Linked DNA regions of Saccharomyces cerevisiae S288C. The protein of the gene in region 2 binds, or shares a complex with, the protein of the main gene of each other region. Each region holds a gene or a part of one and is shown on either strand. Other genes may lie near its edges. The genes, in order: RNA15 and PCF11.

Region 1 (6,588 bases), on a different chromosome or scaffold from region 2:
AAAAAAAAATAGAAAATAGACATCCCCGAATACGCATCATCTCACGCACGTACAAGATTTTAACGTTAAAGCCAAAGTACGCTAGTATAGTATCATCAGCATCACCCTCACTATCGGTAGCATTGACCAAACATGTCGTTACTGAGACTGTGGAACAAAGAATCAAGGGCACCATCAAAAATAAAGAGTCATGGTATTGTTGGCAGTTACGGCAACAGCATGCTGGCCCATAACAACGTGAAGCAATTTCGTATAGACATAGACGAACCGCATAGAGTATGGAAACCGAATGAAAGCATAACCGGAGAAGCGGTCATTGACATAAAGAGAGACATAACTAACGTAGCGATCAAATTATCGCTAGTATGTGAGGTTCGCGTGAAAACGGGGAACAGTCCAACCTCCAAGAATAAGAGAATTGAGAAAACCTTAGAGAAGTCGACGTTTCTTTATGGACAGGACTACGTAAAGACAGCTTTTTCGGCTAAGGAAAAGAAACCGCATGTTGACAAAACCACCATTCTCAATGGTTTAAGCAAGGGGGAACACAGGTTTCCCTTTAGGATACGAATACCACGAGGCAGAGGAATGTTGAGCTCTATAAAGTTCGAAAGGGGCTCGATAACATACTTCCTCTCTTGCACTTTAGAATCCCTCAACAACATCAACGGATTAAAAAAACCGGAAGCAAGATGCGAACGTGAGTTTGCAGTCATAGTTCCGCTGGACGTCTCGAGGCTGCCCAAGCCGAAAACTAAGACAGTGGTTTTACAATCAGCATCTATGGTCCAAAACAAAAAGAACAAATCTACAGAGGACGAATCCTCATCGTATACACAATTAACTCAAAAGTCTACTACTTCTAATTCTTCTAGCAGTTCAGTAAACTCCAAGACGTCCCCCTTACCAAATAAAACGGTGACTATATCCGTAGACATACCGCAGGCTGGATTCATGATTGGTGAAATTATCCCTATAGACGTTAAGATTGACCACTATAAGCCTTTCTATGCCCCTGCGGGTCTCACCACCACTTTGGTGAGGATATGTAGGGTGGGCGGTGCAGGCAAAGATGATCCTATGGAGACTTTCAGAAAAGATATATGTCAGAGTATCTCTCCTATATATATTAACCCTGAAACGTTGCAGTTTCAATCTAGAGTTTATCTGAAAGTGCCCCTTGATGCATTTTCGACCCTTACTACTGTGGGAAAATTTTTCTCCTTCCAATACTATATCGAGGTTATGGTTAACTTATCAAAAAAAAACGTGGTTTACACAGAATCTAATAGAATAATAGGAACTCCTATTGGAGAACAAAATGGCTTGGGCGTAGAGAATAATATCAACCGTATCCAAAGGAAAATGCTACGTATGGTCAATCCAGAAACGTTGGAGAACGATTCTGAGGGTTATGAATCCAGTATATTTTTCAAAGATATGGTAAATGTGGAAAAGCTAAAGAGACTGAGGAATGTAACTGGTATGTCCATAGAAACCGTCATAGGAACGACGAGATCCGAACAGCAGCAATCTGATGCAAGCATCCCATCCCAATCCTCAATCACGGCTCCTCAAAATTCTCCATCGAATTTAAGAGATTGGTTGGCCCCATTAAATGCATATGATAGTGACGATGTTCCAGTTCCAAAGTATTCGCCAAATGATAAAGTCAGTGTACCGTCGGAAGACAAACAAGAACTTGAACAAAAAAGACTACAACAGTTAGAAAGCGATCCTCCCCCTTGTGATGACTATTAAAAAGTGCAGGTAACAAGTCATATACTCGCAGCTTGCGCCGTGTTGGAACTAGGCGCCTTAATCATGTTTGCATATTTCCACTATCCCAGCCACGTAATGATCCATGACATTAACATAGAAAAAAAAAATCGAAGCATGCACAAACCTGAGATTTATATATGTTCATGTGTACTTAATATACGTTTAATGATTAAAACTATAGCCGTCCTCAGGCAAACTGAGATAAGAAACGAAAAAATAGCAGTAACGTAAACGTTATTCTATATTTATAAAGACGTCAAAAAAAAAAGTGATTGTGATATTGAGATGTAAGCTATATACCGAACTTTGAGCTCCCTCACGTGGAAAATATGATAGATTGTTGCCTCATCATTGCGGAACCGCATTTTTTTTTTGTATTTTTGCCTCCCTAGTTTCAAAATGCACCAAATTCTCCCCTTAATGCTTTTTGTTTTAAGTCCCAAATAGCCATCCTTTCATCATCGGGCAAGATAGAAATTTGACTGTCATTCAGTTGTAACACCTGTTTCAGTAGTTCTTTCTGTTTGTTAAGCACAGCTGGATCCACCACCTCGTTCACGCTATTGTTATTCGTAGCCGATGCCTCTTCTTGCGGCCTGGAAGCTAACGGGATCAAATCATCCACTTTACATATCCCATTCGTTAGCAATAATTCAGCCGTAACAAAACTCAACTGTGGACACAGCTCTAATAGCGAAACAGCATCTTCAGGATGCGCTCTTGTCCATTCTTGGAATTTTTGTAAAAATTTCAACTGCACCTCTTTCGGTTTTTTAGCTAGTTCGCTCGATATCATCATAGCAGGGGTGGTCATGTTTATGTTAACGTCGATACCAGAGGGCAATTCTGGAAACTTTTGACTTAGAAAATTGGCATTTCCGCTGTTTTGAAAGTCCGGCCCATTACTATTATTATTATTATTTCCATTGTTGTTATTGTTCCCATTAATGTTGTTGTACTGTTGTTGTTGCTGTTGTGAAACTCCCGATATATCACTATTGCTGGAGTAACCGCATTTCAAAAACCTAGAGCCTAATTGGTATCCATTCAAATTACGTACTGCGCTGGCACTGGACTCTAAATCTCTAAATTCAATAAACGCGTACCCTTTCGACCTACCAGTTTGGGGGTCGAACATCATTTTCAAATTGATCACGGGCCCAACATTACTACATAAATCAAGTATCTGCTCCTCTGTTTGATCGTATGGTATAGAACCCAGATACACCACTCGGGATGGTGGGTTGTTCTGTACCCCCGCATTCACACCGCTCTGCCTATTCATTTTATCGTTTTCGTCTTTTCTTTCAATGTATTGATAATTAACGTGTCTATGTGATGCTATTGGTATATAGCCTTTCTTGTATATCCCTCTAACAATTATTACAAGTGTTTCTGTTTAAAGCAAGTGCTAGAAGTGACTCGGTTCTCTTAGGAAATTCTAAACGCAAGATTTCTCTTATGGTGATTGTAACAATTATGAGATACTTCACTAGCCCACCTTAACTTTACGGACCTTCTTTTGAAACGATGCTTCGAATGACAACGCCTTTTTGATATATAATATCCAATTTCATTATAGGGAAATTTTCAACTCTTACCCGCCCCACTGTGCTGATATGACCAAGTGATCACTCGATGATGGGACTACGTATTGAAAAATATTGAATGAAAAATTACTCAAGCAGCAGAACATTCACAGTGTAGTCAGTCCGCATAAGAGCATTCATCATGGATAGTAAGGAAGTACTGGTACATGTTAAGAATCTAGAAAAGAACAAAAGTAATGATGCTGCAGTTCTAGAAATCTTACATGTCTTGGATAAAGAATTCGTCCCCACTGAAAAGTTACTGAGAGAAACAAAAGTTGGTGTGGAAGTCAACAAGTTTAAAAAATCCACTAATGTAGAGATCAGCAAACTCGTGAAGAAAATGATTAGCTCTTGGAAAGACGCAATTAATAAAAATAAGCGTTCCAGGCAAGCACAGCAGCATCATCAAGATCATGCGCCAGGCAATGCAGAGGACAAGACAACTGTAGGTGAGTCCGTGAATGGTGTTCAACAGCCGGCCTCCTCCCAGTCAGATGCCATGAAACAAGACAAGTACGTCAGCACTAAACCAAGAAATAGTAAGAACGATGGTGTGGATACAGCTATATACCACCACAAATTACGTGATCAGGTACTAAAAGCACTCTACGACGTTTTGGCCAAGGAAAGTGAGCATCCACCTCAATCTATTTTGCATACTGCAAAGGCCATAGAAAGTGAAATGAATAAAGTTAACAACTGTGACACCAACGAAGCCGCTTACAAAGCCAGGTATCGTATAATTTATTCAAACGTCATATCAAAGAATAACCCAGATCTCAAACATAAAATTGCCAACGGTGATATAACACCTGAATTCTTAGCTACATGCGATGCCAAGGATCTGGCACCAGCGCCCTTAAAGCAAAAGATAGAAGAAATTGCCAAGCAAAACTTATACAACGCACAGGGTGCCACCATAGAAAGGTCAGTCACCGATAGATTTACATGTGGTAAATGTAAAGAGAAGAAGGTATCTTACTATCAATTGCAAACAAGATCTGCGGATGAACCATTGACCACTTTCTGTACATGTGAAGCATGTGGTAACAGATGGAAATTCTCTTAGAATAGAAAAAGATGAGAGTAGCCACGGACAGAGCAAAGGAAACAATAGGAGGAAGGGACAGAAAAGCCTGTTCTGACTCTATTCGTAGTAGTATTTGACAGCCGGAATCCAGGAAAAGAAAAAGCCAAACATACAACCATATCCAATTTGTTGAAATGGCATATTCATATACGATGTACATATATACATATACTGCTGGTGTTAATTTTTTTTGTCTGTCTCACGTAAAATCTTTTGTTCGTCCAGTTACTTTTAATTATTTATGATTTTCATGTTTTCTTTATTAATCTTCTATGCATTAAATATGGCTCGGTCAGAACTAAAGAAATACAATTTAAGATGTAACAAAACCGACGAATAAAAAGTTAGAATAAACACAAGAAGCAGAAAGTAGATACTACAGCCACACATAATGCTAAGAGTTATATGGAAGCATAGTTCCAGAGTCACTCGTTCGATAGAACTATCGAACATTTCTACCACTAATCACACCAGGAGTTTAAGGAGGCTTTCCTGGATTTCTCCGAGAAGATTTTACGCTCAATCTTGGGACGACAGACAGCCTAATGACAAAATAGATGCACACATAAAGGTGCAGAAACTCATGGATCAAATAAATTCGAGGCCTAATGTTCTGGAAAAGTTAGAAAAGGTTAGCAATATCATGATCGAAAAAAAATTGGTTAATCTAGATGGGACTTCTGCCAATGAAGAAAATACGATGAAACCATGGCAAATGATTAAGATCTTAATGGACAGAGATCTGAGACACGCTATGAAGGAATTTAAATTGGAATTGGAAAAATCTGGCATACAGTTAGGACCTGAACAACTGGCCCCGCTAATGACCGTTTTAGGCCTTGAGAAGAAAAAATGAGAGGTGAAAGTAAAAAAACATTACCTATCTGTCTTACTAGCGCCTTCCGTGTATAAATATTACGTACTACTACATAAATACTCATTAGGAGGATTACATAATTTCCATTGTATCGTATACTAGGTCGCATCTTTGCATATTATAAAGCTTGCCAAATAGGGATATACTGCCAGCACTGTTACATTTGTCATATTGACATCATTATTTTTACTATTCACAAGGTAAGCACGTTTTTTTTTAGTTTTCTTCATCTAACCAGTCTAGGAACTCAGGAGCCAAATAAGTGATGATTAATCTGGCACCCGCCCTCAAGAAACCTTGATGAGATTCAAAGGCAATTGTCTTCAAATCAACAACACCTTTTTCAGCTGCAGCATGTAACATTGCGTATTCGCCCGACACGTGATATGCGCAGATTGGTAAGTCTTTACAAATTTCACTTGCATCCCTCATTATATCTAAGTAGAAAGTGGAAGGCTTAACAATAATACCGTCGGCACCTTCACTCATATCCCTTTCCAACGCCCTACGTGCCAGGCCACGACCGGCAGGAGGTAATTGGTAACATTTCCTATCACCATTCGAAGGAGCTGAACAAGCAGCATCACGGAATGGCCCATATAGATTACCGCTAAACTTAGCTGCATAGGATAACACGAAGGTCTTGTGAGCCAAGTTTGCATTTATTAAGCCTCGTTTAATATCTCTGATCCTACCATCGATCATATCACTGGGAGCCACACAGTGCGCACCAGCTTTAGCGTAGTTAACTGCCACAGCTGCTAATCTAGAGACACTACGTTCTCTATTAATAGTACCATCATCGTATAGAACCCCGCAATGGCCATGAGAAGTGTATTCACAGAGACAGACATCGCAAATAATATACAGTTCAGGGAAATACTCACGAATGAATTTAATACCTTGAATGACTGGCCCTGCAGGATCGTCAGCCGCTGTACCCACTGGATCCTTGGTACCAGGGATGAGAGGCACACCAAACAAGATCACAGAACGCAAACCCTTGGCCACTAATGGCTTTAAGTAGTCTTTTAGCCTATTTACACCGATTCTATTGATATTAGGTAGAGAGTCAATTTCAGTAAAGTCATCTGGATTATCGGAGATGAATAGCGGAAAAATCAACATGTTCTTAGTCAGTTGACGCTCACTTTGCCACTGTCTCAGCAGTGGGTGATTATAACCACCTGCTAGAACAGATGAGATTTCTGTTGGTTCTGTTTCCAAAAATTCAGCTGTATGCATGG
Region 2 (7,222 bases):
CTGTCAAAAGAAAAAGCCAATTTTTTGGAAACTATCGCTTCCACTGAAAAGCCAGAAAATAAGACTGATAAGGTGTCTCTATCTCAGCCAGTTAGTGCAAGTAAGCATGAGTATAGCGATAATTTTCCAGTTTCTCTATCTCAACCTTCAAAGAAATCTTTCGCAAATCATACAGAGGATGAGCAAATTGAAAAAAAGAAGATCTGCCGTGGGAGAATGAATACGATAATAACTCACCCGGGAAAAATGGAGCTGGTATACGTGTCCGACTCAGACGATTCTTCTTCAGATAATGATAGCCTAACTGACTTGGAAAGTTTAAGCTCTGGTGAATCAAATGAAATCAAAGTAACTAATGATTTAGATACAAGTGCTGAAAAGGACCAAATTCAGGCAGGCAAATGGTTTGATCCTGTATTGGATTGGCGAAAATCTGATCGTGAATTGACGAAAAACATTCTTTGGAGGATAGCTGATAAAACGACATACGATAAAGAAACAATAACTGACCTTATTGAACAAGGGATCCCAAAACATAGTTATTTAAGTGGCAATCCATTAACTAGTGTGACTAACGACATTTGCTCTGTTGAAAACTATGAAACATCAAGTGCTTTCTTTTACCAACAAGTGCACAAGAAGGACAGATTACAATATTTGCCATTATATGCAGTTTCTACATTTGAAAACACAAATAACACTGAAAAAAATGATGTGACCAATAAAAATATCAATATAGGGAAACATAGCCAAGAACAAAATTCTTCTTCCGCTAAACCATCCCAAATTCCAACCGTGTCTTCTCCATTAGGATTCGAAGAAACAAAGCTAAGTACCACGCCTACTAAAAGCAATAGAAGAGTGTCGCATAGTGATACTAATTCTAGCAAACCCAAAAACACGAAGGAGAACCTTTCAAAAAGCTCTTGGAGGCAAGAATGGCTTGCAAATTTGAAACTTATTTCCGTTTCGTTGGTTGATGAGTTCCCTTCGGAGCTTTCCGACAGTGATAGACAAATAATTAACGAAAAAATGCAGTTACTTAAAGATATATTTGCTAACAACCTTAAATCAGCAATTTCCAATAATTTTAGAGAGAGTGACATCATTATACTGAAAGGTGAAATAGAAGATTACCCAATGAGTTCTGAAATTAAGATTTACTACAACGAATTACAGAACAAGCCTGATGCAAAAAAAGCCAGATTTTGGTCATTTATGAAGACTCAGAGATTTGTTTCCAACATGGGATTTGATATTCAGAAGTCCTGTGAACCTGTTTCTATATCCACGTCGGTCAAACCACATGTGGTCGAGCCCGAGCATATGGCAGATGCCAAAATTATGCCTAAGGATATACTGCAAATTACAAAAAAACCGTTAATGGTTAAAAATGTGAAGCCTTCTTCTCCGCCAGATGTGAAGTCTTTGGTGCAGCTGAGCACAATGGAAACGAAAACCCTACCAGAAAAGAAGCAATTCGACAGTATTTTTAATTCTAACAAAGCAAAAATAATCCCTGGAAATGGGAAGCACGCATCAGAAAACATCTCACTCTCTTTCTCAAGACCTGCGTCCTACGGCTATTTTTCTGTTGGAAAAAGGGTTCCAATCGTTGAAGATCGTCGAGTGAAACAACTCGACGATATAACAGACAGTAATACAACAGAAATTTTAACTAGTGTTGACGTTTTAGGAACACATTCACAAACTGGTACTCAACAATCAAATATGTACACATCAACCCAAAAAACAGAACTTGAAATTGATAATAAGGATAGTGTCACCGAATGTTCGAAGGACATGAAAGAAGATGGTCTTTCCTTTGTGGATATCGTTTTGTCGAAAGCAGCATCGGCGCTGGATGAAAAGGAAAAACAATTGGCTGTTGCAAATGAAATTATTCGGTCTTTGTCAGATGAAGTTATGAGGAATGAAATTAGAATAACTTCACTTCAAGGTGATTTAACTTTTACAAAGAAATGTCTTGAAAATGCGAGAAGTCAAATATCTGAAAAAGATGCTAAAATTAACAAATTGATGGAAAAAGATTTTCAAGTGAATAAGGAGATAAAACCGTATTGACTTTTTATCATTCTACAAAAGACCAGTAACGAAGTGTACCCTGTTTTTCTTTGTCGTTTTCTTCTATAATGAACAATTTACTTTACGGTCTTTAATCGATTTTAATGATTAGTTGGGCTTTTGGCTACATATGTAAAATTACATATAATATAATGGACACATAAGCAAAAAAAAAAAAAAAAAAAATAAACAAATGAGCAACCCATCAAATACCAAGAACAAAGAATTTAATATAATATATAGTTATTAAATTTAAATGTATATATGCAGTTCTGCTCTTATTTTGTGACCAATTTCTTTAAGTCATCCAAACCGACCTTGCCACTATTAGATTTGCTTGAATTTTGCGACGTTTCATGATAACATGTCGAGTGGAAATATTTGCCATTCACTTCAATAGTATTTTTCCAAACCCATTCACCAGATTCTTCATCATAAACGCCAGTAACGGTTTCCTTACAAATTGGACATTTGAAGGCCATATCTTGTGAAGTTTCTGGTACAACAACATATTTTCCCCGTATTTCCAACTCGTTACTTCTATCACTTCCTAAAGTGTTGTCTACAGAGCCTTCGTCATTTTCATCAGCGTGAATATTTAGGGCACTTTTATCGATATTTTTATTGGCATGCGGATCAGTATAATCATTTTTATGCTTTGTGGAGGTAATTTCATCATCTTTGAAGGCTGCCCATTGAGAGTCACTCAAATACCAGTTTCTTGATTGAATATTTTTCCTTGTGGTAGTTGTATTTAAGTTAGAGTTGCTTATGCCTGTATTTGCTGTGTTTTGTGATCCCTTAATTCTTGTATTTATTCTGAAATGCCAGTCCAAATGCTCATTTTGTAGTAGTTTTTCACTTTCTGAGTTGCCAAATCTCTTACCACACACGCTACATTTATTTGGCTTGGATCGGTATAATAAGTGAATAAGATTATTTTGGACGATGGGATTTTCTTGAAGAAGAGTTTGTTCGGACAGCTGCAGGGATGGGTTATTCAAAACGTCGATGTTAACCGTGGCAAAATAAGCTTTGCAGTCAGAAAGAATATCATTTAATAAGGGTATCTTTGGCAGGTTCTTCATCAATTGTTTTTCGTGTGAATCAAGAGAGTAGTTTGAGTGTCCATTTAGCTTTTTATAAAGCGTTACGATGGATTCTTTTGGTGGAGTATATATGAGCCCTTCAGCCTTAAGAGATGCATAGAGGTTATTGATTTTGTTTAGGGACTTTTTTTTCTCAATTTCTTGAAAAGATTCAACGCCAGAAATATTACCAAAAAGAGAGGAAGATAAAGAATTCTGTTGGTTCGTTGTATCTGAATTATTTCCAAACAATGGAATCGCTGAATTAGAGTTTTGTGTGTAAGAACCGACCATATCCTTAGTTTCGTGATACTGCTGCTGCTGCTGCTGTTGTTGTTGTTGCTGTTGCTGCTGTTGTTGCTGTTGCTGCTGAAGTTCGTGATACCTCATTCTTTCCTGCAAAACTTGTTGGTCCTGTGAGAAGACCTGCCTTAGTTGCATTTGAACTTGTTTCAGAGCATTGAGAGTTAGTTTTTCTCTTTTCAGTTCTTGTTTCAACTGAGATAAAACCAACAGTTTCATTTTTAATTTTTCATCATTTGGTTGATTCTTTAGCCTTTCACTAGTTAAACAAGTTAATTTATCAATGTCTCTTAATAGGAGGGGAACAGTCGGAGTTGGTAACATTGCTTGCAGGTTTTTCTGGTGGAGAGCACTGGCCTTTATTAAAAACTGTTCAATTTTCTCCAGTGCTGAGCCTTCAAACAGAGGCAGGCCGGTGTCATTAGGATTCAACCAAAGCTTAAACATATTGATGAGTTTTGTTCTTGTGGTGTTGTCCACCAATAAGTATGTTCTTTTGTACAAGTTAAACAAATTTCTACTGAAGTAGATTGTGTATGGGCTGCCAACATTCTTACAAATGGAGTCCAAGGCATAAAAAGCGTATAGCTTCTGCTTAGGCATACATTTTTCAATTCTACTCTCAATGGCGTCAACAAAATATTGAGCACACGAAATGTTTTCTTCTGCTAACTTCGTGAGAGTGGTAATAATGGGTCTCGAGTTAAAAGTTAATTCTTCAAGAATACTGTTGAAATCCTTGACTATAACTTCTGTGTCGTGATCCATAATGAAAAGAGAGTATTACAAATAGACCTAGTGTTTTCAAGTACAGTTTTCTTAACTGCTCCGAAAATTGTCCTGGTAATTCTTTGCAATGCAAAATTGAAAGAGAGACTTTTAAACTACTAAACCCTTAACAGTAGAACAACATTGTCTCATTAATTTTTGAAATTTCGCTTTCTTCCCATGCCTTAGGCCAAGTTCTCATCCAATGCGTCGAGTCCTTAAAAAAAATTCGCCCGGGTAAACTAAAACTTAGATGCACTAGGTAATACCATTTGGTGATAAAGGGAATAAAAAGCAGCAAATCCTAGCTCAATTACGAAACTCTGATCACTTGGGGCCCAGCTTCATTGGCTAAATTGGTGTATCCCTTGAACCGACTACGTAAGTACGTTTTGAAAAGTGTGTAAATCTATGTATAAAAGTACATCAAAAATTAGACTGAGAAAGTTCTGTATAGCTGTACTAATACATTAGGAATAGGCTAGACTTCTTCGCCGCTGGAATAAAACAGCTGGGCCTTCTCTTCATTGGTACCACTTGCTTTGCTCTATTGAAAGTACAAAGAATAGAGCAGACGAGTGTAAACATCCTATCTGCGTTCCAACAGAAGTGCGTATTGAAGTCATCTCATGCTAATGGCCATCTCATGTAGAATAGTAAGGAAAAACGTATCTAATTTATAAAAACTTGAGTTAGATCTCAAACTTCGGTAGATTGCGCCTTATTTAACGGATGATATACACTTATTCTACTGCTCACATTACTCGTTTTACAGGAAAAAATGGTCAATGCGGGCAAAAGAAAAAAATATTGGGCGATATGTTACAAGAAAAGGGTGAGATGGAAATTTATGCTAAACATTAAGTGGAAAAAAACCATATCCATACAATAGAAGTATATATTCTGAATAAAGGGTCAATTAAATTTCACCAAGGAATAAAATATTGTTAAAGAAAGTAACAGGAAGAGAAATCGGATATGCCTGACAATAATACGGAGCAATTGCAGGGATCTCCTTCAAGTGACCAGAGACTGAGGGTTGACTGGGACAACGGTAACCATTTTGACGTCTCTCCCGACAGATACGCGCCTCATCTATCTGAATTTTACCCAATTGTAAATAGTAAAAGACCAGTGGCTAGCAGTGCTGGCTCAGAAAATAACGACCATCTGGACGACATGAACCATTTACGTTCATCCAAAGTGTATTCAAAGGCCCGTCGGGCATCGAGCATAACTTCTGGTACGAGCACAATAAACGACTTGCAAACGCTAATCACAAAGAGAGATGTGAAAGAGACCCAGGAAGCCCTATCGACATTACTCAGGAACTCGAATGCTTATTCGGATTCGTTATTAAAGACATCTCAGAATGGGGCAGAAATTGCCCATTCCTTAGAAAACATTGCCAAGTTGAAGGGTTGCAATGATGAAACGGCGGAGAAACTATTGAGTGCCAGTGGGTTATTCTACCTTTTATCTAATCATCAGCTTATAATGTCAAAGTATTTCAATGACTTGTTGGGAGATAATTTAATTGATGATATTGATGAATTCGAATTACAGACCAAGATAATGGAGAACAAGTTCAAAGCACAAAGCAAAGAGCAAAGTTTAAAATTGAAATTGCAGGAAAGACATAACTTCGATATCTCGAAAAGAAAAATAAGGAATTTAATCTCATACCGAGAGAGCCTTTCTAGCTTGCAAGCAAGGTTAGATCAACTGGAGACACTAAAGCACGATTTTTACATGGATTCATACGAACTTGTGGAAAATACATGCAACAAAGTACTCAGCAAAGTTGCCACGGTATCTAGGGCACAAGTGGAAATTTCTGAAAATATTGCAAGGAAAGGTTGGTCTGGAGGCGGGCTAGACGAACTACTTTGTGATGCAGACGACCCCTTCAGCAAAAAAGCAGATGGGCCATACGGGACCATCGGTGGTGATGGAGAGACTGCTGGAGAAGCATACAACAGCGATGAGGAAACGGGTGGGAATGACGTGGTGCTCAATGAACTACTAGAAGGAACCAGCCAACCTTCCACATCAAAAACATCTTTACCCAAATCCAAGGGGTCCTCAACGGTATCCACACCGAATCATTCACAGTCAAGTTCAAACAAGGACGGGGTACGAAACAATGGCGGCGGCAAAAATGGCGAAGATGAGGATACAGACAATTTGATGGGAACAGAAAATTCATTTTCTTTACCGCCTACGAGAAACTCTGCCGAGGAAACCACACAAACGTTTAAACAATTGTCCATTAAAGAAGATAATGACAATCACAGCAGCGATACGGACGGCATGCAAGACCAGTCAAGTAATATATAAAATTTGTAACTCTATGTATGCTTTTTATATAGAAATGGAGAAAGTGAACAATTGAAGTTATAGTATTTTCGGAGAAATGTTGCATATATACATAGGAAAACGGTTAAAAGGCCCTGCTTCTACCTTCTGTTTCCCCCTCGTTCTTTTCACCAGAACTTGTACCATTTCTTCTCAGAGGAGGCCTGAGATAAATTCTGGTTACTTTGTTCAAACTGACTCTGCTTTTCATTTTTGGCGGCCTCCCATTGCCCCGGCAGAGATGGGTCATGAGGGACATTATGGAGCATTGGTTTTTCCTTTTTCGCCACGGTTTCCTTTGCCAATTGTGCGATCTGGAAACTTTTTTGTCTCTTTAGCCTACATTGCTCCCATCCGACAATCGAGCCCAGTATCAGAGAGCTCATCGCCCAATTCGTGGCCTTAGTCGGGCTCTTATGGTATATAAATATAATAGATCCCATCAAGAACATGCTGGAAAACCCGAGCATGCCCGCGTCTCTGAAGCACGGGATTGAAGTCAGCTTCTGCAAACTAAAATCACTCCATCTGATCGAGTCCCAAGCCTCTTTCAAAGTAGCCCGTTCTTGCTTCTTGGCCAACTGAGAATTGGACAAGTCATCGGCAAACTTGGGTGGAGT

What was found.
Region 1: PCF11 (region 2) and RNA15 share a complex: the UniProt entries of both Saccharomyces cerevisiae proteins name them as parts of the CFIA complex.

The regions. Positions count from the first base shown.
Region 1 is NC_001139.9:413,970-420,557, forward strand, and holds RNA15 (Rna15p), read right to left. Parts: upstream 3,068-6,588; coding exon 2,177-3,067; downstream 1-2,176. Other genes in the region: RIM8 (Rim8p), read left to right, coding at 133-1,761; transcription elongation factor DST1, read left to right, coding at 3,514-4,443; YGL041C-B (uncharacterized protein), read right to left, coding at 4,735-4,917; DPC13 (Dpc13p), read left to right, coding at 4,856-5,320; porphobilinogen synthase HEM2, read right to left, coding at 5,558-6,586. UniProt on the Saccharomyces cerevisiae protein: RNA-binding component of the cleavage factor IA (CFIA) complex, which is involved in the endonucleolytic cleavage during polyadenylation-dependent pre-mRNA 3'-end formation and cooperates with the cleavage factor NAB4/CFIB and the cleavage and polyadenylation factor (CPF) complex.
Region 2 is NC_001136.10:919,563-926,784, forward strand, and holds PCF11 (Pcf11p), read right to left. Parts: upstream 4,245-7,222; coding exon 2,364-4,244; downstream 1-2,363. Other genes in the region: chromatin-silencing protein SIR4, read left to right, coding at 1-2,085; IVY1 (Ivy1p), read left to right, coding at 5,223-6,584; COX20 (Cox20p), read right to left, coding at 6,731-7,222. UniProt on the Saccharomyces cerevisiae protein: Component of the cleavage factor IA (CFIA) complex, which is involved in the endonucleolytic cleavage during polyadenylation-dependent pre-mRNA 3'-end formation and cooperates with cleavage factor NAB4/CFIB and the cleavage and polyadenylation factor (CPF) complex.